4 linked regions of the Sus scrofa genome follow. The protein of the gene in region 4 interacts with the protein of the main gene of each other region in a biochemical or structural test. Links are inferred from orthologs where the notes say so. Each region holds a gene or a part of one and is shown on either strand. Other genes may lie near its edges.

Region 1 (6,180 bases), on a different chromosome or scaffold from region 4:
GTATGCAACCGGCGGACTCTATTGTAAACTTCAGTTCGGAGAACTGCAACATAATCTGACATCATCTCTCCTCAAGTGCTTCTCTGCCCAAGATTATGGAAGAATTAAGTCAGCAGGATTTAGTCTGTCTAGCTGTGGCTCCTAACCCAAAGTTTTTTTCCTCAAAGAGAAAAAGTGTGTGTGTGTGTGTGTGTGTGTGTGTGTGTGTGTGTGTGTGTGTTTATTCTGGTTAGCAAGAAAATTTCTTTCTCCTACTTCAAGGTGCAGAACCTGAAATGTAGCTAACTACTTAGAAACCCATTCAGTGTGGACCCACACACATTTTAAAGCTAAGGCTCAGAAATCCAACCAACCCAGCCATAAGTAAGTGAATTACCATATTTGACAACCACTACCAGGTAGACCAGAACAGTAGCTTTCAAATTTTGACAAGGCTCAGTAAGAAACAAGAAACAAGTTTCATATCACAAATGCACATGCAACATATTAAGTAAAATGAAAAGTCTCAGTCAGGACTTAGAAGTGTAACATAAGATGCACTGTAACATTTTCCAGTCTATCGTAAAAATATTACCAGCACTGGCCCACTAAATTGACTTCACAACTCAACAAAACAGGTCCTGATCTGTTTGATAAAAGGCTAAAAATCAAAGAATTGTTCTGCTTCCCCATCATTCAAAAGGCTTCTGGACTGCAGTTCCTAATTTGCTCCTTAATCTCCACTAGGTGATAGGTGATGTACCACCTATCAGACACTGTCCTGAAGGTTTTAGAAATAAAAGGAAAACTCTGACGAAAATTCTAACTTCAAAGAGTCTTTAAACTTAGTAAAAAGTAAAAGTCTGTAATGAACCCCTGAGAGAGAAACAAAGCAATATGAAGTTTGGATGACAGAATTCTTCCAACTGGGGTAGATAAGAAGGCTTTAGAAAAACATGACATCTGATCTGTCTTAAGCATGAGAAGGCTTTGTCCATGTGATTGGGGTGGAGGGGAATGGAGTACTCCAAATGAAGACAGCATGAAGGGCAGAGAAGTTTCCACATATGAACAGCAGACTAAAAGGCCACATGTTGAGAGAAAGCTAAAGGCCAGATTACTGTCTCTCGAAATTCCAGGCAAAGAAAGTTCTGCGGGCAAGTGGAGTCTCCAGAGTGGTCTACAATGATCAGAGCCTAAGTGTCTCTTAAAGAAGTTCAGCAAAAATAGTTGCTGGTTTTAAAGTGACCAGCTATAACCATTTTTAAGTACCAGGGTATCTATCTAGTCCAAAGGCCAATGTATGTGTTCTAAAATCTAAGCCATAGTACACCATCTATTAATAGTTATTTTAAGAATTAAATAAATTTTTTAAATGATTTAAACAATCAAAAACTCATTCCAGAAAGTGAAAACAAAACCTGTCCCCAAATTTTTAGCAGTGGAGACAGTACTGGGTTAGCTTTCTGAAACCTACCAGTTGGATGACCTGCACATGAGATTATAAAAATGGGCACCATACACAGCCTACTCTATGTGGCAAGCACTGCTGTGCTACATGCTTCTCAAGTCCTGGAAAGGAAATCTCCCTTTCTTCCATCAACATCAGCCACTGCTGTGGAGCAGAACCCCATAAGCCAGAAACTTATTTCTCCAATCCTAGGGAGTTAAAAATGCTCCTGGATTTCTCCTGTCTGGATCGCCACAAAATAACTGCTTCTGAAAAATTCCCTGGCAAGATATACAAGCGTTTTTTTGGTTTGTTTGTTTGTTTTTACCAAATGGGCTTTCCAGCATAAACTCTTCCCCCTCCAACATACAGCAAAGTTTGGAGCGTTGGCACGTGCTTCTTTATGAGCAATGCTCTTCCATTTCTTATCGTCCGAAGAAATCCCATCATCCTTGCCAGTCCAAAGAGTGGCAATGCAGAGCCCTCCGAGGCTGTTGGTAGCTCAACACGTCAGTTGACCACGGAACTGAACTTGGTCCGGTTACAGCACAAAACCGTAAAGTATTAATTACTTGGTCACCTGTCAATCTCCACCAGGCTGGGGAGGTTCCTATCGACCTCCTTACCCACTCTCCTCTCAGCACATACATGGATGCTTGGTACACACCAACTGCTCCATGCTCGGCTGTCAACAGAGATTTTCTCTCACCCTAACGAAAATCCCACAAGACCATTAAGTTTCTATTAACACCAACTGAGAAAACGTCAACATACTAGCAAAAAATCAAACCAAGGGATGGTTGTGGACTGAGCTAATGAGTGAAGCCTGATACATTCAAAGCGACACAGAGAGGTGAAAGAAAAAGGACTGTACTACGTTCCTAAGGGAGCGAGAGTTCACAAGACCAAGCAACAAGAAAAAATGCCAGTGATATAAAAACAAGTTGTGCAGCTTCCGGGAAAAAGAATGCACAGGGCTCGCAATCTTCGAAGACTGAAGTTCCAGGCGCCGAATGGACAGGCCTTACAGCCCGGGCAAGAAAGGCAGACTGCTTGGTTGGGCTCCAAGACGGAGGTGTGCGGTTCTGCCCCGGAGATCCGGGCGGGGAGGAGAGGAAATGACGAGCCTAAAGTGGGTGGTAACGGCGCCTGGCTGGAGACCCGGGCCGAGCTGGGAGGAGGGGCGCAGCCAGACCGGGGAGTGGGCGCACTAACGGATCAAAGGGACGGCGGGGGCGGGCCGGCCCCCCCCTCTCCGCGCCGCACGCAAGGCCCCGTGGCCGGGGCGCGCGTCCTCCCTGGGTCTCCCTCCCGACTCAAGAGGACTGAGATACCCAGACCCGCTTACGGAGAAGTGGGGTGCGCGGGCCCCGCGGGGAGTGATTTCCCTTCCAGGGCTAGAGCGTGGTGAGTGCTAGGGCAGGCTAAAGAGTGAGGCCGAACGACCAGGAGAAAACCGCCGAGGCCCGGGCGCGCGTGTGTGTGTCTGTGTGTATACCTGAGCGTGGGGGCCTTCGTGGCAGTCAAACCCGCCACCCCCGGGCCTGGAGCTTGAGAACCTAGGCCTAAGGGTAGAAACAACCGGGACGCATGGCCAACTGGCCCTGACACCCTGCAAAGGGCTGGACCCCAAGGTGCCTGCTCCCGAGAGCGCCATCCCTGCGCGGGGCAGCCCTCTGCAGGCCTCGGCAGGGAGTACCCCGGAGCGCTTGCAGGCTCCAAGCCGAGGCCGCCAGCAGCCCCGCTCGGTTAGGCTCAGCTCGACTCCCCGGGCTCGACGGGAGCCTGGGCCTCTCCTGAGTGGTCAGCGAGACCCGCCAATCGGGGCGCTGGGGCCGGCTCTGGGCCGCTGGATATTGGCTCCTCACACTCACCGTGCCTCGCTCCCCCGGTTCGCTGCCCGCGCTGATTGGCTCCAGTACCGGACCCCGAAACCCAATCAGAGGCTCCAGCCGCCGCTGCCGCCGCCACTGCCGCTGCCTCGCAAAATGGCGAAGCCGAACAAAGGGGAATCGGGCCTCCCTCCAACTGCCTCCGCGCAGGCGCCTCTGAGACCACGCCCCCTAACCCGAGCTCTGGGCTCGCCCCATCCCCGTTGAGAGAGCACTGCGCAGGCGTACGATGAAGCCACGCCCACTTCCCTAATTAGATTCCTCCCCCGGCCGAAGGAATACGCAGGCGCTCTCTTGACGCGCCGGACCCTTCAACTCAAAACACCGCCCTGAGCACAGGACCACGCAGGCGCTAACCAATTCCTTTGCCAACTGCCCACCCCTTCTATGCGGCCTCTGGAGACACACCCCTGGGACTAATGCGCAAGCGCCGCTCTATCCAACTCGCGGCCGCTATCTCGTTACGCATGCCCGGGCGGCGGCGGGATACTCTACGGAGTTTACCGCCGGAAGTTCGGCGACCAGCACCAAAGAGTGCAGGTCCGGCTAGCTAGCTAGAAGGGCTCGTTTCCGCCCCACTCCCGGGTGGTGGGCGGCCATTTTAGGTGCGTGCAATTAAGGACTGTGGTGGGATTGGCTCTACAAGCGGACTAGTCCGCTGGTCCCCACCTACCAGAGCCCTTCCCCGCGGGGCGGGACCTCCTAACGGCGGACTCCTTTCCAGGTGAAGGGTACCTGGTACGTTGGAGCTTTGAACGAGGCTCCCCGCTCCCTCCCACGGGACCCCGGACAGGCCATTTGGCCTCGCTGATCCGCCCCAGGGTAGGAGAGAGAATGGGAGGCTTCTCTAAACTTCCCCCGTTTCCCCCCAAAGATAGGGGGGAGCTTTCCTTGAGAGGCCGCCTTCTGTTTTCTCGTGCTCGCTCCCGCTGTATACACGCCCGCCCCCGCCCCCGTCCCGTTTGCTCCCTTGTTGCGGCTTAACGGGACCGTAGCCTTGGCCCACCTTTTTGCTTCTGGGCCACACCCAATGCGGAAATACTTTTGGATCGTGCACCGAAAAGGAGACTGCGAATCCGCCTTGCTCCGCGCTGGCTTGGGGAGAGGAGGAGGCGTGTCTTCGGGCCGCCTTTCTCTCCTGGAAAGCGCGAAACGGGAGCGGAGCCCTGCCGCCCCCCAACCCAGGCGTCCGCTTCTCTTTCTTGCCCAGAAGAGTTTTGCATTACTTTTTGAAGGCTGAACGAACTCCCATTCAGCGATAGGTGGGGGGCAGAAAAGTTAGTAAGTGGGTGGTCGGGGCAGTCTGAATGTAATATATTCAGGTTGCCTAAGCATTTTCACTTCCTTTCCCCTTCTTATAGCTGAAGAAACACTTAAATTCTGGAAATAGCGACTCTATCATGGCCGGCAGCCCTAATGAAGATTCAGAAGGAAGCAGAGTGCGTAACAACTATTAACTTATTGGTGAACTGAAATTCAGAGTAATTGAGGTCAAAAGCATAAACACTTTTTAATTAAACCAATAATTGAATTGTCTTTTTTTCTCTCTTCTGTTGATTTCCTTTAGAAAGGCCAATAAAATCCTAGGCAGAGGCCGCTCATCACTTTGTTTTACACATGCTTTAATTCGCTTTAGATAATTTTTTCAATTCTGAGGATTTGTCACTAAATCAAAAGGAGGAAGCGGGGAGAAGTGGTGGTGGGCACAGTAAAGGAAAATAAATAGCTTAGTCTTTTTCTGTAGCTTCGTCTTTTTTTTTGGTATCTAATAAAACATTTTCTTTCCCTTTGCACATTTTAGATTACTTATGTGAAAGGAGACCTTTTCGCATGCCCCAAGACAGACTCTTTAGCGCACTGCATCAGTGAGGATTGTCGAATGGGCGCTGGGATAGCTGTCCTCTTCAAGAAGAAATTTGGAGGGGTGCAGGAACTGTTAAGTCAACGTGAGTTCTGAGAAGAGCTCCAACTCATCTGCCCTGGCTAGAGCATCTTTTGACCTCCTGTTGTACTTGATTATGAAACAAGATATACCCGTATGGGTGGGATTCCAAACCACTGAGTCCTTTTAACCGTGAAGATTAGGTTTTTCTTCATAAAAAAACGGCCTCTAGTTTGGATCCTTTTCCTACCAAATCTGAGTTTTTGTAAAAGTCTTTAATTTCTTCCTAAATCTGTCTTGATAATAACTGCTTCTCTGAAACCTTTCATAACTGAAGTGCTTTAACCAAGTCCATGGGTATTAATTTGGCACTCAAGATCTTCTTTACCCGTATTGTACTTATTCTTCAAAGAGGAGTCTAGAAAGTTCCTTACAGATCCCTTCCATCACTTTCTACCAATGATTTTAAACCAGACATGTGTATTAGAATCACTTGTGGAGCTTCTGAAACAGTTGCTTAGACCACAGTCCAGGCTTACTGAATCCGAGTCTCCGCTGGTGATTCTGATGCCAGTCTTTAAAAAATCAGTTTCTTACTGCTTTGTATTTATTTGTAAACATGACACTTTCTCTTGATTGAATAGTCTTTAATAATTAAGGACTTTTTAATACATCCGTGTTCCCCATGATGCTTAGTTACTTAACACATGAGCTCTTTGTATGTAAAAAGATTATTGAATGAACACACATTTGACACGTAAAAAATGCTGTACATTTGAAAATACTTCAAGGCAGTAGACAAATTTTGTAAATGAATGAGGGTAGATATATTTACAGATATAGCAGGAGCAAAGATAGGGTGTGAAGAAAACATGATTGAGGAAACATTAAGAAAGCTGGAAGTTAAGGAATACAGTATTTGGGAAGGCTGATAAGGAGCAAAGTTTTCTTCAGAATTGAAAATTAATTCTACTTCT
Region 2 (6,007 bases), on a different chromosome or scaffold from region 4:
GGGGGCCCTGGGGGGCAGGATGCTGGCGGGGGTGGGGTGGAAGGTGGGCAGCCCAGGCCCCTTCTGTAAGACCTGGGCCTGTGGACTCTGCAATGTGTGTTGGAGGGTCTGGGGAAGGCAAAACCTTAGTTCCAAGGCACCTATTTCATTTCCCCACGATGCCAGGCAGGCGGGCTAGAGTGTGGGAGGTCTGTCTGCCTGCCTCTTCCTCCTCCTCCTCTCCAAATTCCAGGAACAGGCCAGGGAGGCTCCAGTTGCGGAGAGAGAACTCAAGCAGGCGGGCCCAGCTGGGGGGGGTGGGGGCGGGGACTGGAGCGGGAGGCCAGATCCAGACGGAGCCAGAGACACCCACACCCAAGCCAGACGGGACAGACACACCGACACTGACACATTCTCACACTCTGGGCCTGGTCCCCCCATGCCAACCACCCTGCAAGGACACCCAGACTCCCTCTGCCAATCCAGCCAATCCCCAGAACACTCCCTGGACACACAAGGAGATCTGGGCCCTCGCCCCAACCCCACATCCCCCCACAAGCCCTGTGGGCTCCACACAGCAGCCAGAGGGTGGAGAGGGGAACAGAGGGAGGAAAGACAGCAGGCGGCCGAGAGGACGGGTAGCCAAAGCCCTGGGAACCAGGGTATCATTGGCCACGCTCTTTTCCCAAAAACCCAGTAAGTCAAGACAATCCTGGCTGTCTTGCCAGGGGCCCTGCCAACTTCCCACACTCCCCAAACCACCACTACCAGCAAGGGCGTGGGGTGCTGGGCGAGTGCTGCTTGCTCCATTTACTCTTCACGGGGACAGCACGACCTTCCCCAGTCCCCGAGAGTGCTCCTAAATGGACCGAGAGTGCTCCTAAATGGACCCGGCAGAGTCCCAAACACACCCACCCATGCAGCACCGTCTAGGTCCTGCCCTGCTCAGGCCACGCAGAGGACAGGGAACTGGACGCTGAGGTTTTACCTGTGGGCAGTCCCCAGCCTGTCACAGAGTTCTGAGGACCACGCCACCTAAGACCCTCAGATCTGAGCAAGAAGTTGCGGGGGAAGGGGTCCAGCTTCCAAGACCAAAGGATTTAGGGGAAGGGGAGCTAGTTAACTGGGGTCTGGGTCAATGCCCTCAAAACAGACCGGAAGGGCCATGCAGACAAGGCCCTTTCCCCCACAATAGACAGGGTGGCAGGAACCACGTCATGGCACATGTGGGTGACTGTGCCCGGCGGGGGAGGCATGGGGGTGATCAGGATGGGGCTGCCCACAGCTAGCTTCCTGCCAGGCTGCCACATGGCTGCAAGTAGGAGGGGGTCCAGAGAGGTTTCCCAGATGGAGGCAGGGGCATTTAGGGTCAACAAGAAGGATGGGGATTTAGGGGCTATAAGAGGAGGTGGCCAGGATTAAGCCGTTCCAAGCCCAGGTTCTTCTCAGCACTGCCACTGCATCTGTCTCACCCTCGCCAGTCTGGCAGGGAATGTCCTGAGGTGACCACCTCATGGGCATTTATTCATGCCCTCAAAGTCCCTCCAAATCCAAGATCCCGAGCTCCCAAGGCCTACGAAAGTCTGACCCCAGTGACGGTGACTGCTCTGTTTCAGAACCAACATGGCCCAGACACTCAGGAAGAACTCAGGTCCTCGCCGCCCCTCCCAGTGCACCAACATCTTTCAAAGCCACAAACTCCCTGACTCCACAACCACCACCCTCCTGCTCCCTCCTGCTCCAAATACTCTTTCTCTGGTTCCCTCCCCCAGACTCATCTCCACCCCTCCCAGGGGAAGCCCCAATGCTCCAAGCCACCCCCACTGCCACCTGGGGCTTCCCCGGCCCAGCCTCCCCATCAAGCACAAGGCCGTGGAGGAGAATCTGGGGCTTGAGCCCATTTCCTAGCAAGACTTGGTGTCCTTCCTGAACCACTTCCCCCCAAACACCCCGGCCCATGACCACGGCAGCCAGGCAGCCAGGGAAGCGGACAAGAGACTTCACTGAATCGCCTAACCAGGAAACTGGAGGAGGATGGCGGTCAGGAGCAGAAGTGAGGGTTGGGGGTAAGAAGCAGGGGGTGGGGGTGGGGTGGGGGAGTGTTTTCAGGAACAAGGCCCCTGAGAACATACACGGTACAACATACACGGTACACAGGCACACAGGCACACATGTGCACACGTCTCCCAGGCAGAAGGCAATCTGGTTACAGAAGAGGGAGCTGGCAGTTGGTGGAGGCCCAGGGTACCCCTCCACGCCAGCACAAAGGCATGCTATCCAAGGTAGGCTGGACAGTGGACAAGTGTCTCCAAGACTGGGGGCTTTTCTTGTATGATTTCCACATGAGCTGGTTCTCATCTCCAGCCTAGTGCACGGCCCCCTTCCCCCAGAGCAACCCGACAACAGGGCCATGCCCGGAGAGGAGAAAGGGCACTGCCAAGCAGATTTTCCAGCTTCCCCCTCCCACATACACATCTGGCTAGCAGCTTCTCCACCTCGTGGGTGGCACCAGGTCCCAGACACCCTGGGCAGAACCAAGACAACCAATCTATTCCATCCTTCTCATACCCCCACAAGCTTCCACAACCCCATGGTGCCTACAAACCCAGAGACATCCCTCCCCTGGCTGCACTGGCTCCCCGTACCCAATTCTGACGGCTCCCCGCACTCCACGGGGGACACCAGCTGAATGGGCCCCGCCTCCCAACTGGCTGCCTCAGATGGGGTGGGCCCCCGGGCTGATTCTCCCCAAACCACAGGGCGGCTCAGATAACAGCAGGGAAAGAAGGAGGGGGCTAGTCCGTTGGGCATCTGATCTCTCCCCAAACAGGTTTGAAAATCTTTTTGTTTTGTTTGTTTGTGAAGAGAAAAAGCGAGAGAGAGCAGGAGTTCCCAGCGGCGGTTCTGCCACAGCTCGGACGCCTGAGACACGCGCGGCAGACGGCCCCAGACGCCTCACGGCTGCGCGCGAAGACACGGGCGCAGACAGACTCACAGACGGGGCTCCCCCACCCCGAGCACGGCGGCGGCGGGTTGGGAAGCCCAGGAAACCCCAGGTGGCCGTCCGAACCCGCCCGGCACTGGGTCTCTTCCACCCCGCGGGTCCTATCAGCAGCAGACCGAGGGGCGACGATGCCTGCGAGGGCCCGGGGCTCTCCAAAATCCCCGGGGGGAGAGGTTACCTCGCAGTGGGGGGGGACGCAATCCGTCCCGGTCGCCCGCGGGCACAGCGTCTGCCCTGACCCTGCGCCTTGGAGCCGCTCCGCGTCAGGGGTTGCGGGGTCCAGGGAGACGACCAGTTGGGGGGGGCCGCGGCTCAGGGGCGCGGGGCGAAAGCAGCGGCCATGGCGAGTCACGTGCGGAGGCTGAAACTTTACCCGGAGCCCCAGACTGGGGGGGCGGAGGGTACCGAGCCGCGGGGAGGCCCTCAACCTCCGGTCCGCCCCCGTCCTCCCACAGACCAATCACCATCCAGGGGCGGGCCCACAAGATCACGCCCCCCTTTCTCCCTAATAGACCCAGGGAAAGGGTGAGTCTTAAAGGAGCCGCGCCTAGCAGAAGCTGGACCGTGGGAATCTGGGAGAATCCCTCCCTCTGCCCCCAAAGGAGAGACTCAGGGCGAGGAGGCGAAGAAGTTCTGCGCGAAGAACGGAAAGAAGGCTCAGTGGAGAAGGGACGGCAATGTGTGGTATCACACTCCCTTCCCTCCGACCACACACACCCACACTCACAGGGGCAAGTATCTCACACACACACACCTCTTGCACCTAAGCCGGGGTTACACAGACACACACACACACACACACAACCTCTTGCACCTAAGTCGGGGTTACACACACACACACACACACACCCTGATGGCACCTAAGCCGGGGTTAGAGAGGCGGCAACGTAATATGGAAGTGAATACAGTGACTCCGCCCCTAGCTGTCAAGCCCCTAGACTCCCATAATTATAATCTTCCTCGAGGAACCCCTTGGAACTGAGAGCTGTGTGACCTTGAACAAGTCTCTTTCTTTTCTCTGAATCTTAATTTTCTTACCGGCAAAAAAAGGAGTGCCAGAGCAGGTAGACGGCCCTCAGGCACACCTCCTCGCCTCTCCCGCCAAATAACCTCTCCGGCTCGAGTGGGTCGGAGGACCTTCGGCCCAACCGTACCCCTCAGCGATCCCTAGTTCCCTTACCCCCAATGGACAGCGGCTCGTGGATCTTTCAAGAGCCGAGTAGGGGGCGCCCAGGAGCACTCGTACATGCAAGGGACTCAGTCTCCAGCTTCTTTTTCCTGGCCCAGGCTGAGGAGCCAGGAAAGCTCGCGTTCTTGTTCTAGCGGGGCAGGATCTGAATCATTCTCTCTGCGGAGACCTCAACCCCCAGCAGAGCCACAATTCCCCTCCCAGCCTGTGGCTCCATTTGGAAGGACCATCTCCCCATCTACTGGGGTGGGGGGCGGGGAGGAGGAAGAGGAATCAGTAGGGAACACCCCTCCCCTTTCCTGGTCGGAGAAGTGGCCACAAGTGCCCCCCACAGGACTTCCCACTGGAAGGGGAAGTGCCACACTCTCAGGCGTCCACCCCAGTGAGGAGGCTCTCAGCCTGACCCGACTGGCAGAGCTCTCAAACCCATCGGCCCGACGGCCCCTGCTTTACAGACAAGGGACCCGAGGCTGGGAGTGGACACGGGTGTAGCCCACGATCGCACCGGCACCGGCTGCACGGCCCTGCCTAGGATTGAGGTATCTGACTGTCTCTCTCCAGCTTTAGGCCCTCGGCCTTGGTTAGGTAGGACAAGCAGTGTCGGCGAGACGCTCTGCCCTGAGGTCCCGGCGCAGAAGAGCGCCCCAGGGCGGCGCTTCCCCAGGCCTCTTCCCGCCTGCTGGGCCCGGCCGTCTCCCGCTCCCGTCTGGATTTCCATCCGCCGGTGCGAACCGCCCGCCCAGCCCCGCCCGCCCTGTCCCGTCCAGATCCATCCGCAAACATGCGCTCAGCGGGCAGGAATGCGCCAATGGCTCCCAGATGTGGACTCCGATGCTTAACCCCTTCCCCCCCAACACCCCCCTCCCCCGGCCTTCTAGCTTGAGTCCAGCCAGCAGCAGGGGGCGCCAGCCAGATGAGGGACCAGCCTGGGAGGGGACTCAGTGTCAGCTCCCGCCCCCCCAACCCCACCCCGCACAGGCTCCTCCTGGCCTAGATTCTACCTGTCTTCTTTCCAGCGGAGGCTAGAGGGGAAGGATCACCACGGCCACAAAAATGCAAGTGTGCATAAACACGTCTACTGCCTCGCACGAAGAAGGGTGGCCTTCACATACACCTGCCACACGGGGTCAGGTACACTCGTGCACACGGAGACGCAGGTGTACACATGCACTCCCAGGACACCCAGCTGTGCTGGGCCCACTACAGAGTCCCCACCCCCCACCCTCCAGAGACCCTCATGCAGGAGGGGAGAAGAGTGCAGGAGGCAGCCTCCTGCCTGGCAGAGGGAGAAAAGCCACTCACTCTTTGGAAAAGACACTCCTTCCTGGGGCCTCCTGCAGGCAGAAGGAGATGGGCCGGGGGAGGAGCCTGAGCTGCTGGTTTCCCAAGGCAGGGATCCCTCTCCAAACCAGAGGAAATCTGAGAAAGCCCTGATAGGTGCAGGGCGAGGACAGCCCCCAGCAGACAAAGAAGATACAAAATAGCTGTGACACACATACACACACACACACACACACACACACACACACACCCCAGGAGGGCCCACACTTCCAGCAAAACAAGGCCTCCCTTTCACAGCCGGTGGGGAACTCCTGCAGAATAGCATCCTTGGTAACCAGTACAGCGGATGACAAACTTTGCCCCTCTGCGACCACCTGCACGCAGGTGGGGTGTGGAGATGTCTGCCGGAACCTGAACCAATCCCAGCTGACTCCTCTCCTCCTCTCCAGTGGCCCAGCTCATCCCCAAAGGAGCGCCTCCCATAAGCCCCCTGATGGCCCCACTCATCTGATTCTCACAGTCCTGAAGGGTTATCCGGGGCAGGGCTCCTGCTT
Region 3 (5,997 bases), on a different chromosome or scaffold from region 4:
ATTACCGTGGGCTGTGGCCGGCAGCTGCAGCTCTGATTCGACCCCTGGGCCGGGAACCTTGATATGCTGTGGGTGCGGCCCTAAAATGCAAAAAAAAAAAGAGCATCAGCTCTGGAGGTCACCTGCCAGCATCTCAATCCCTCCTCCACTGCTAATGGGTCTTATGACCTTGACCATCTATGCCTCTATTTCCGCATCTGTAAAGTAGGGAAAAGAACTCTTCTTTAGAGGAGTTCCCGCTGTGGCACAGCAGGTTAAGGACCAGGGTCACCCCAGGTGCCATGTGGGTTGCAGCTGTGGCTTGGAGTCGATCCCTGCTTTGGGAACTTCCACACGCCACTGGTGTGGCCAAAAAACAAATAAACAAACAAAAAAGGAATTGTTCTTTAGAGAGGGTTGTAGAGATAAGCTGAGATGATCCACGTGGAGCACCAGCCAGCGCCAGGCATGTTTTAAGTGCTTGGCAAACATAAACTAGTATGGCTGTTATAAAAGCCTGAGCCGCACGGCTGTTGAGAAGGTTAAATGAGATACTGTATGAACACCATCTGGCATGCAATACATGTTTGCTTAAAAATAAATGCCTGCCTTCTGGGCATGGTTTGTGCAAGACAAATGAGGAGAAACCCCCAACAGCAGGCTCCTACTCAGGGTGCTTGGCCATACACCCGAAGATCGAGGGGTATATGAGTCCTTTTAGATCCTAAGATAAAACAGATTAAACATAAAGAAATGTCACATGACTTGTTTCTGGAAGAATAAATTAGGACTGTCAGAATCGGCCTCAAAAGGGCCTTCTGAGAACATCCGGACCAACCCTGCTGCGTTGTTTGTTGTTGTTTTTTCTTTCTGCTTTTTAGGGCCACACCTGCAGCATATGGAAGTTCCCAGGCCAGGGGAAGAATGGGAGCTGCAGCTGCCAGCCCATGCCACAGCCACAGCCACAACCACGCGGGATCCGAGCCGAGTCTGCGACCTACACCACAGCTCATGACAATGCTGGATCCCCAACCCACTGAGGCAGGGGATCGAACTCGCATCCTCCTGGATACTGGTGGAGTTTGTTACCGCCGAGCCACGACGGCAACTTCCCCTGTTTTAAAGATAAGGAAGCCCAGCAAGGTGCAGTGACTTGGTTAAGGTCACACGGGAAGCTGGGGGTAAGCATGGAGATTTCCTGCCCACACTTTGTGGTGGGGGCTGCAGACACTGCAGTACAAATCCCCACTCTTGGGTGGAGGACTGGGACTGGGGGGTGGGGTAGGGGAGAGGCAATGGGTGTTACGAGCTGCTAACAGTGCCAGGCAGGAAGTGGACAACAAGCTAGGAAAGTGGCAATGGGGGGAGGGCAACGAAGGCAAGGCTGACCCTCCCTGGGCAAGGTGCAAGTCCACGGGGGATCAGGGTGGGGATCTAAGCGGGAAGTCCCAGAGACAGGAGGACAGGTTCTCATCTGGGGGAAGGGTGGAGGCAGCCACAGGCACCTGACGTTGGCCTTTCTGAGCCTCAGTCTCCTCCTCTTTGAAATGGGGCTGATGAGCCCCAGCGCAGAGGGCAGCTGGGGGTCAGATTAAGAAATGTCGACGCACTCGGTGCACAATGCACCCAGACTCATAGTAGGCCCTCAAAAAGGGGGCACTTTTCTTCCTTCGAGTCCGAGGACCCAGGCAAGAAAGAATCGCCCTCTGTTAAACAAAAGAACTGACTGTGGGCAGAGGCTGGGTCACGTCACAGGACGGCAGATGTCACAAGACAAAGCTCCCATAGACACCATCTTCCCCAGCCCCCTCCTGGGGCAGAGCTTAGAGAACAGACTTGCCCAAGGCCACACGGCCTGGCCGGTCCTCGTACACCTTGTGGCCTCTTTCTGCTGGAAAGTCTGTTGAACTGGGGTTGTCTGGAAGGGTGGTAGGGAAGAAGGAAACAGAAAGCAAGCCAACATTCTCCCAGCCCAGCTCTGAAGCTGTGCCCGGCCAGCCGTCTGGCCAAGGTGAAGGATACACATCCCTCATGGCTTCCAGGGTGGGTGCCCGCAGAATGTCTCGGATGCCAATGACGTTCTCGTGGCGGAAGCGTAGCAAGATCTGGATCTCTCGCAAGGTCCGCTGGCAGTAGGTCTGATGCTCAAAAGGGCTGATTTTCTTGATGGCCACTCGAGTCTTGCGCACATGGTCGTAAGCTGAGCTGAGAGGGCCGGAGAGATGTTGGTGGTGTGGCCTTACCAAGCGGGGGGAGTCCAGGCCCGGCGGCGGGCCCCACCCAGGCCTTGGCAGGGAGGGGAGGGAGCAGGAGAGACTGGCCAGAGCCAGTCATAAACAATGCTGGTTCCTTCCTGCTGTGAAGGCCTGGGATCTCCAGGGAGAAAGCTGGGGACCAGCCAGGCAGCCCTTCAGTGACTTCACAAACAGAGGAAGGGACTGACCGATCGCTGACTTCCCTTCTCCTCAACCCTTTCCATTCTAGTGGCCCTCACCCCTCATCCTCCCCTTCCCCGGATGGGCTCCCTCTACCCAAGACAGGGCCAGGGGCGGGAGGTGTGAGGGACATACAGGGAGGCGAATCCAGGAAGAAGGAGGGATGGGAGAGAAGGGATGCAGCAGGGGCGGGTGTCAGGGGGAGGTTCCCGGGCAGCAGAGCTAATCCCTGATGAACAAAGGCCCAGGGCCCCCAGTGGGGCTGGGAGAACTCACAGAGCCCTCCTGAAAGTTGCAAGAAGGCACTCCGGGACCCCCTCATTGCTCACTGGGTCCCTGGCCCCAGGCCCAAAGCCCTGCCCCACCCTGTCCAGCCCTGAGCTCTGCTCTTCTCTCCCAAACTCCTAGATTCGACTCCCGGGGGGCAGATCCCAGGCGCCCTTTCCCTGGGAAGGGTCCTTCCTGCCGTTTTCACCAAGGATATGACCTCCCCCAGAAGACTTATTCTCTTCTCTTCGCCCTGTGGCTATAGACTGCCCAAGGTCCCCACAGCTCCCCCACCTAGAGGCCCTTCCCTTCATTAGAGAAGGTTCCCCTCAAAACCCCCCAAGCCCCCCTCTTCTTAGATCGTAGGCAGCGCCCCCTCCCCCAGAAAGCACTCCAAGGCCCTCTCCCTGGGGCGCTCTCCAGCCTCCCGAAGCCCCTGCGGCTTCACGATGCTCAGAGACCCCAAGGCCTTAGAGAGCTCTCAGCACCCCTCCCTGGGATCGCCCTCCTCTAAGACGCCCCCTCCCCTGGAACGCCCCTCACCTGACCATGCCGTACGCGCCCTCGCCGATGTATTGCAGCTGCGTGTAGCGCGGGCCCACGTCGAACGGCTGCCCCTTTACTATCTCCACTTCCCCCGGGACCCCAGGGCCGACCCCATCGGCTCCCCGGGGCTCCCCGCCCCCGCCCCCCTGAGCCGCCGCCGCCGCCGCCATCTCCACTCCTCCCCTCCCGCCCGCCCGCCTCCCCCCCCGGCGGCCCCGCCCCTTCCCGCCCGCCCTGTCACCCGCGGAGCCGCGCGCGCGCCAGACCCCGCCCCCGCCCGCCCCCGCGCCCGTCACGTGACCCCCACCCCCCCGCAGCGGCGCCCAGCTTTCTGGGCACGGATGCCATGGTCCCTGGCACTTGTGGGCTCCGTCTACTCGGTCAATCTAGAAGCTCCCCAGGGCCGTCTGAGACGGTCCAGAACCCCACTCCCCCCCTCCAATGCAGAACAGCCAGTAGGGCCGCCCCAGTGACCTCACCCAGAGCCACCAAACAAGGGCTGGGATGAGGGGCCAAGACTGGGCCGCCTGGTCCCCGCTGCTTTTGCCAGCCCCACTCAGCCCGGCTGAGTGGTCCGGCTCCAGATGGAACCTTAGGGGACCCTCACCAGCCCTCTGGCGTTTGGCCTCCCTGAGCCCGGCCCGATGCTAAGTGATCCCATGCATATTTCACAAAAGCGGTGGGAGATGGCTTTCTCCTAGAGGTAGCCTGCCTTTCACAAATGAGGAAACTGAAGGCTGAGCAGCGCAAGGTCCTTTGGAATCGCGCAGACAACTTGAGATCTGGAAAGCCCAGGTGTCCGGACTCCCAGCCTAATGGCTTTTGACTGGAGGCCTGCCAGAGTGGGCTAGGGACCTGGCCTCAGCACCCAGGCGGTACTGGTATCCCCAGGATCATATCATTGATGATCCCATGCTTCCTTTACAGGGAAAGGGGGGGAGAGTCCAGAGAGCTGCATGCAAGGTTGACACGATCAGGCTTTGCCCAAATATAGCAAGACGGGTAACTTTTTTTCTGTCATTGGATTTGGCAAAAATTGGAATCCTGTTAAGATCATCATATTTTGATTCTGTATGAGACTTGAACATATACTTAATACTTGGCCCACTCTAGTCGCTTCATTAGAACAATCCCACAATATAAACGTCAACTGCTTTTCTTTCTTTTTTTTCTTTTTGCTTTTCAGGGCCACACCCACGGCATATAGAGGTTCCCAGGCTAGGGGTCCAATTGGAGCTACAGCTGCCGGCCTACACCACAGCCACAGACACGCCAGATCTGAGCCGTGTCTGTGACCTACACCACAGCTCAGGGCAACACTGGATCCTTAACCCACTGAGCAAGGCCAGGGATCGAACCCACAACCTCATGGCTCTGGTCAGATTTGTTAACCACTGTGACACGACGGGAACTTCTCATCTGCCTTTCTTAACTGGGTAGGCAGGGGCCATGTCTTTCTTGTTCATGGCTGAATCCTCGACCCTCAGACACTCAAAAAAAAAAAAATTAATGGATGAATCAAGTTTTACAGAACAGGAAATCTGGAGTTGGGGAGCTGAGACTCAACATGGTGTCTTCTGACAGAGAAGCAGAGGCTCTTTTTAATTCCATTCTGTTTCCCAGAATCAGAGTCTGCTAAAAAACTGGAGAGAGGGCCCACCCAGTCCATCTCCCTTACTTCACAATGAAAATATGAGCTGGGAGTTTCACAAAAACACATCTCCTCGGCTTTAGTAAGTAATCACGTTTTTTTTGGTCTCCCTTAGAAACTGGTCCTTGTATGCCTTAAAGATCGAGACAAAATGGAACAGTAATTATGATTCTGAAATTGGTCACCATTAGATATACCACCAGGCACTTGATTCAGATTAATAAGACCGAGTCACTGGTCACCAATAGCCCCCAAGTCAATGAAATTTCAAGATACTAATTAGATCTTTTTTTTTTTTTTTTTTTTTTTTTTTGCTTTTTAGGACAACACTGGTAGCACATGAAGGTTCCCAGGCTAGGGATTGAATCAGAGCTGTATCTGCCGGCCTACACCATAGCCACAGCGACGCAGGATCTGAGCCGCCACCATGACCTACGCCAAGGCTCATGGCAGCGCTGGATCCTTAACCCACTGAGCAAGGCCAGGAATCAAACCTGCGTTCTCATGGGTGCCAGTCAGATTCATTAACCATTGAGCCATGACAGGAACTGCAGATCAAAAAATTTTTGATAAGCTATTGAATGGCATTGTGAGCTAGGCACTGGGGCTGATAAAAGCTTACTGTATAGGGTGAATTGGGAGTTTCCCTTGTGGCTCAGTGGGATAAAAACCCGACTAGTACTCACCAGGATACAGGTTTGATCCCTGGCCTCACTCAGTGGGTTAAGGATCCTTTGTTGCTATGAGCTGCAGCGTAGGTCACAGATGTGGCTCAGATCCTGCATTGCTGTGGCTGTGGTGGTGGCCAACGACGACCCCTAGCCTGGGAACTTCGATATACTGTGGGTGCAGCCCTAAAAAGACGAAAATAAAATTTAAAAAAATTAGTGTGAATTAGTGCTTAAGAGCAAGAGCTCTCTGGATTCAGACTGCCTGGGTTAGAATCCCATTTTTGCCACTTACAGTGTTATCCTGGGCAGATTACCCACTGGCCTCTTGACTTAGGGAGTTTTTGATCTATTGAAAAGGTGCATGTACAAAAATCAATTAAAAAATATTTTGGGAGTTCCCGTCGTGGCTCAGTGGTTAAAGAATCCGACGAGGAACCATGAGGTTGTG
Region 4 (6,006 bases):
TCCAAATGATTTAAAGAAAATCATTGCTACTTCTCTGACTTGCCCTCAAGAAAGTGTTACCCTCAAAAGGTTCTACTTCGTTCTTTAGACTCAATAGTTTCAGCTGAGATGCTAGGTAGCTCTGGAAATAAATGCAAAAGATCTGAACTCTTACCTGAGGCATTTGCTATAGCCAAGGGCAGGCTTGGAAGCTGGTGCACCTGGATTCCCGAAGCACCCAATGCACTGAGGTTAATGGTCTGGAGGCCAGGCATGGAGGAGAGTTGAGCAGCATTCACAGTGACTGTGCCAGCAGGGATGGAGGCAGCTGAGGCAATGGGTGTAAGGGTGGTACTGCTGCTGCTGGTCTGCCCCAAGGAAACACCCTGCATTGGGGCCAAGGTGATTGTCTGGGCCTGTGGGTTCTGAACTTGGAGGTTCTGCAGCTGAAGAGTCTGCCAACTGACCTGTCCATTGGGCCCCACTGTTGGTGTCCGGATGATGATGGGGCCAGAGTTTGGAACGGCCTGAAGCTGAAGGTTCTGGAGGGTTTCCTGGGAGATAGCTTGAGTTGTGAAGGTCTGCCCTGACAATGGCGTTGCTTGGAGAGCCTGGAGGGCCTGTCCACCTTGAACTAACTGAGGCTGGATAAGAATTTGTTGTTGTTGCTGGGTCTGCTGGTTTTGCTCTCCCTCTTTTTGCTGACTTGCTTGCAGTGAGCCTCCAGATGTCTGGTTCTGCTGGATGTTCAGAGCATCAGACCCCTGTAGCCCACTGACCCTCTGTGGTGTCTGGCCTTGAGAGTTGGTCCCTGTTGATCCGCTGGTGGTAAAGTTCATAATTCCCATGTTGCTGGTGGTAGTAGTTGTTGAGTAGCTATTGGCATTGGTGAAAAAGGAGCTGGAACTGGCTTGTGATGATACCAAACTGGCAGAACTGATGGCAGTCCCGGAGGTGACAGGCTGTGAGCCACTCTCTTGGGACCCGGAGCTGCTAATCGTGACTGCCTGAGAACTAGGAGTCAAGGTAGCTGCAGAAACGCTGTTGACAGGTAGCAAGGTAATATTACCATTCAGGGCCACTGGTACATTGGTCACATACTGAGTCTGTCCTGAGAGTACATTATTAGCTAGGCCTTGGAGGGGGACAGCCTGCTGGAGTAGGTTTGGCATAGCAGCAATGATGTTGCCTCCACTTCCTCGATTTGTGATGATCTGTTGGTTTGCACCTGGTATGATCTGTATCTGACCTGAACCATCCTGCTGTACTTGGGCCCCAGTGGCAGCAAACTGCAGCTGTTGCCCATCAACCGTCTGGAACTGTGGGATTACTTGATACTGAATATTAGGCATCACTCCAGGCAGTCCTGTTAGGACTTGCTGGTTCTGCAGGTTGGATGTGGCAGCCACGACATACTGCCCACCAGAGACAGTGCGATTCTTGGAAGACTCACCACCATTGTTGCCATTGGTACTGCTGCCACTTTGTTCCTTCGAGGTAGGGGTAGCCCCAGAGGAGGAAGAGATGATCTGCCAGCCATTGGCACTCTGGGAGAGCTGTGTGGCTGTGAGGTCAAGCTCACCTGTGCTCCCGGACTGGCCTGGGCCCTGGGAGTTGTTACTGTTTTCATTGGGTGACTCAATTCTGCTGCAGGTTGCTGCCAGCAGAGCCAAAGGGGATGGCTGGGACTCCTGGCCAAAAATAAGGGAGAGGAAAGAGATTAGTTTAGTGACACCAGCTGCCAGCCCTGGGGGCAGTAGAAAAAAATAAACAGTAAAAAAAACCCAAAATAAATAAATAAACAGCAAAACAGTGCCCCCCCCAAGCAAACAAAAAGCCAACCTATCTACACTGCTGAAATTTGAAATTCTCATCTTTGGGGATCTCCAAGTCACTTGTCTCTGTACTTACTTCCCTATCTGTAAATTAGCCCTTTCCTAAAAATTTTTTTGTGAAAAGACAATCATCTAAGAATATCTACATCCTCTCAACACGATGCCCACTCTGTCCAGATGATCACCTACCTGCCCTCCTCCTCCTCCACCGCTGCTGCTACTGCCTGTGCTGCTGCTTCGAGCCTGAGAAAAGGCACCACCATTACCACTGCCCCCATTATTGCCACCAACTCCTTTTTCAATCTTCACCACAGCTGTCATTTCATCCATGGAGTGATCTTGGTCTAAAAAGAATTAAAAGATAACTTAAAGTTGGGGAAAGAAAAAAGATAAAATGAAGAAGGGTAAGGAAGACTAGGACCAAACAAAAATGACTAACAGGAAGGTGAAAGTCCCAGTATTTAAACAAACAAACAAAAAAGGATTGGGGAAGAAGAGACAGCTGTAGGGCTAGGAAGACCTGAACTGGGCCCCTTGGTGCCAAAACTGGGCCGCAGTTCTCCCTCGTACAAAATTAAACTCAGAAAACAATGAAAAGGTGCTTTTGGTATAGACAATGTAAGGGTCCGTGGACATGTTGAAGGAGTTTAAAAGTATCCTGCGGGGAAAAAAAGGAGAAATATAGATAAGGCATAAAACATGTGGGTGGATGGAAAGCTTGCTCAAATTAGGGTCAAAGGAGATGGAGAAAGGGAAGAATTCAAGTGTAGAAAGTCACAAGAGGAAAGGAAGGGGAAGGAGAAAAGATGAGATAAAAAGTTTTGTAGGGGGGAACATTTGTGAATACTAGAAAGGGGCTAAAGAGGTCCAGGGGTTAGAAATCAGGAGTTTCGGGGCGGACAGAGGGCGGGCCCTAGAAGGAAAGGGCGGTTTCGGGGTGAGGGGCGTGGAAAGGGCGGGACGGTAGGGGGAGGGGTAATCTACGGGGGGGAGGGGTAACCTTCGGGGGGTGGGGGGAGGAGGGCCTTGGGGCCGGCGGCGACCAGAGGGCGGACCAGGGAGGCGGTTGGCCCGGGCGGGGCCTGCACTGCTCGGGCCGCCCCCGCGGCTCCAGCCCCCGGCAGGAGGAGCCTCAGGCGGGCGGCCGAGTAGTGGGGGGTAAGGCCCGTCCCCCGTGGCTGGGGCGGGCAGGGGGCGGGCGAGGCCACGCTGCCCCCTCCCCCGGGGCGGGCGGCCCATCCCCCTCCTCCTCCGAGGCCCCGCCACTGCCCCTTCTCCCTCCCTTCCCTCCGCCCCGGGCGGGACCAAGGCCGCCGCCGCCGCCTCCCGCCCGCCCCCCTCACGGCGGGGACCGCCCGGTCGGCCCTCGCGCGCGCCCCCTCACTCCCCTCCCACCCCTAAGCTTGGAGTGGACTCATCCTTACCGCTCATGGTGGCAGCTGAGGGACGAGCTCAAGGGGGTCCTGTCCGGGGGGGTTGGGGGGGCCAGGAAAAACGCGGACGCTGACGAGGCAAGCGAACCCGGACCGGACAGGGAGGGGGGGGTAAAGAGGAGGGAGCAGCGCGCCACAAGCCCGGCCTAGGCCCCGCCCCTCCACTGCTGCCCCGCCCAATAAGGGAGGGTGAAAGGAGGGACTTGCAAAAGAAAGACAGGCAAATTACCCAATGGCGAGACTCGTTTGCTCTCTAAGGCGTGTAAGACAAAGTTGCGTGCGTGGTGTCCGCCCAAAAAGGGCGCCCTCTCAGTTTTAAAAGCCAATGAAAGGTGCAGGAAGTGAAGATAGGCGGGATTTAGAGATGATAGGCTTGGAGAGAAACCAGTCAACTGCCAGGCGGGCTCGCTGAGACGTAGGGATAGGAAGGGTTTTCATTGGAATGACAGAACAGCGACCAACCAAAACCCTGGGCAAGCCTGGGCAAAGTCCTGGTGGGAGGTGGTAAAAAGTAGACAGGAATGGGATAGGATGAAGCTTATCAAAACCAATCAGAAATCAGGCGGGCGGCCAGGAAAATTATGATTGGATTAACACTGAAAAGAGACGCGCTAGGACACAAATTGACGTGAATAAAAGCCAATTGAATGCTGCTTAAACTGTGAGGGCGGGAACCTGGAGTAGGCAGGGGAGAATTGGCGGCTGCTTCAGTCACTCAGCCCAATGAGGCAGCGAGGGAAGCCAGGCACCGCCTCCGGCTTGGCCAATGGGCGTTACTAGAGGCGCCAGTTGTCGGGGAGGTAACAGGGCTGTGCCAAGAGGAGTCCGTCGCCATTTTGGCCCTCCTCTGGGGACGTCTTTACCGTGATTAGGTGGCAAGGCTTCAGCAGAGCCCTGCAATTCAACAAGTGTCAGGGCCGAGCCCCGCGGCGCGTCGCATTTCTTCCTCGACATCAGGGCTTGTTTGAGTCTTCACTTAACCGCTTTTAAAAGTACCTCTCAGGTCTCCCCCCTCCGCGGTGGGCGGACTGGCAGGCGGATGCCTCAGAATATGGTGTAACCCCTGTGGGTGCTGGCGCAAGGAGATCTGGCGAGGGCGCTCATACAGTAGGTTAATAACGCACTGACCAATTTGCAAGGTCTTTGTGAGACTCCAGCAAACGCCATTTTACTAAATTCCCCCAAAGTTGATAGCTACTTAAGGCCGGTTAACTCTTCGAGAGCTTGCTTTTGAGGCTAAAGAGTGTTGGAGGACTTCCTGGAGTTCGAGGTCCTGTAAGCTGCTACCCCACCCCCGCCCCTGCCTCTACCCCGTAATTGTAAATAACGTTTAAACATAAAGCAAGTAGCCAGATAGAGTGCCTGCTTTTTGCAACTGCAAAGGTTAGAGGTGATTTTTCCCGAAACACCTGAATTTCTGGCTACTCATTCTGCCTCTCCTTTACCCTAGTTTTGGTGGAGGCAGCCTGCGTGGCCTGTCAATAACATAAAGCCATTCTCTTTCGCCCTTGTAGGTTCTATGTTGCCACTTCATTATCTACAACTCGGCACTTCTCCATATTACTATCATGTCTTAAAGTATGGATTCCCGAAAACTGAGGCCTCTACTGCTTTGGGCAAAGCCTGAAGAAGGTGAATGTTGGAATTCCCATTGTGGCTCAGTGGGTTATGAAACTGACTAGGAGCCATGGGGACGCGGGTTCATTCCCTACCTCGCTCGGTGGGTAAAGGATCCGATCGCGCTTTGCCATGAGCTGTGGTACAGTCACAGACATGGCTTGGATCCCACGTTGCTGTGGCTTTGGCCTAGGCTGGCAGCTGCAACTTCGATTTGACCCCTAGCCTAGGAACTTCCATGTGCAGCAAGTTAGGCCCTAAGAAGCAAAAAAAAAAAAAAAAAAAAAGGTGAATTCCTACAGCGTTAGGTACCTAGGGCATCTAGGCATCTTGGCATTCCTTATGTCATTCTCTTAAGGAAGATGTTAGTATTAGAGACAGTATGTATTTTGTAAATGAAGATATGGAGGCTAAGAAGTAACTTGTTCAGGATCACAAGCTGAGATGTAGTGTCAGATTCCAAGCCAGAATAGGCCCACAAAAAGTCTTCTATGAATCCTTAAGTCAATAAAACAATGCCTTGTATAACCATTTATAAAAATGAGCTTAAGGAGTTCCCGTCGTGGCGCAGTGGTTAACGAATCCGACTAGGAACCATGAGGTTGTGGGTTCGGTCCCTGCCCTTGCTCAGTGGGTTAACGATCCGGCGTTGCCGTGAGCTGTGGTGTAGGTCGCAGACGCGGCTCGGATCCCGAGTTGCTGTGGCTCTGGCGTAGGCCGGTGGCTACAGCTCCGATTCAACCCCTAGCCTGGGAACCTCCATATGCCACGGGAGCGGCCCAAGAAATAGCAACAACAACAACAACAAAAAGACAAAAGACAAAAAAAAAAAAAAATGAGCTTAATAAAAAGATTTTTATTAAAAAAAAAACTTATTGTTACCTTCTAGGTCATGAAAGAAAAAAATCCTGCCCATACTTCCAAGACAGCTCAAATAGCATAATCCTCTGGTATGACTTTATTATAAAACATCTCATTACATTTCAATTAATAGCATCTCTCCCTATATGAAAGTTTCTCATAATATCAGGATATCTATCCTATCCTCTGGGTTGCCTTATTATTTATTCATTAATTTTGGCCCCTGCATAAATTCCCCACCTGGGATGGAACCCAAGCCATAGCAGTGGCAACACTGAATC

Evidence for each region. The genes of interacting proteins can lie anywhere in the genome.
Region 1: the proteins of SP1 (region 4) and NFYA form a complex in vitro, tested with the Homo sapiens proteins (2 studies listed by BioGRID). The link is inferred for Sus scrofa from reciprocal best matches to the Homo sapiens genes SP1 and NFYA.
Region 2: the proteins of SP1 (region 4) and RARA form a complex in vitro, tested with the Homo sapiens proteins (2 studies listed by BioGRID). The link is inferred for Sus scrofa from reciprocal best matches to the Homo sapiens genes SP1 and RARA.
Region 3: of the proteins of SP1 (region 4) and MAPK3, one has a biochemical effect on the other in vitro, tested with the Homo sapiens proteins (2 studies listed by BioGRID). The link is inferred for Sus scrofa from reciprocal best matches to the Homo sapiens genes SP1 and MAPK3.

What each region holds. Positions count from the first base shown.
Region 1 is NC_010449.5:36,383,953-36,390,132, reverse strand, and holds the start of NFYA (nuclear transcription factor Y subunit alpha), read right to left. Parts: upstream 3,419-6,180; 5' UTR 3,304-3,418; intron 3,220-3,303; exon of another isoform or gene 2,928-3,219; intron 2,522-2,927; exon of another isoform or gene 1,800-2,521; intron 1,782-1,799; exon of another isoform or gene 1,758-1,781; intron 1-1,757. Other genes in the region: OARD1 (O-acetyl-ADP-ribose deacetylase 1), read left to right, coding at 4,722-4,760, 5,123-5,267. UniProt on the Homo sapiens protein: Component of the sequence-specific heterotrimeric transcription factor (NF-Y) which specifically recognizes a 5'-CCAAT-3' box motif found in the promoters of its target genes.
Region 2 is NC_010454.4:22,082,342-22,088,348, forward strand, and holds the start of RARA (retinoic acid receptor alpha), read right to left. Parts: upstream 3,419-6,007; 5' UTR 3,162-3,418; intron 1-3,161. UniProt on the Homo sapiens protein: Receptor for retinoic acid. Retinoic acid receptors bind as heterodimers to their target response elements in response to their ligands, all-trans or 9-cis retinoic acid, and regulate gene expression in various biological processes.
Region 3 is NC_010445.4:18,295,993-18,301,989, forward strand, and holds the start of MAPK3 (mitogen-activated protein kinase 3), read right to left. Parts: upstream 3,419-5,997; 5' UTR 3,398-3,418; coding exon 3,225-3,397; intron 2,185-3,224; coding exon 2,002-2,184; intron 1-2,001.
Region 4 is NC_010447.5:18,586,180-18,592,185, reverse strand, and holds the start of SP1 (transcription factor Sp1), read right to left. Parts: upstream 3,424-6,006; 5' UTR 3,246-3,423; coding exon 3,239-3,245; intron 2,737-3,238; exon of another isoform or gene 2,335-2,736; intron 2,159-2,334; coding exon 2,004-2,158; intron 1,671-2,003; coding exon 155-1,670; intron 1-154. UniProt on the Homo sapiens protein: Transcription factor that can activate or repress transcription in response to physiological and pathological stimuli.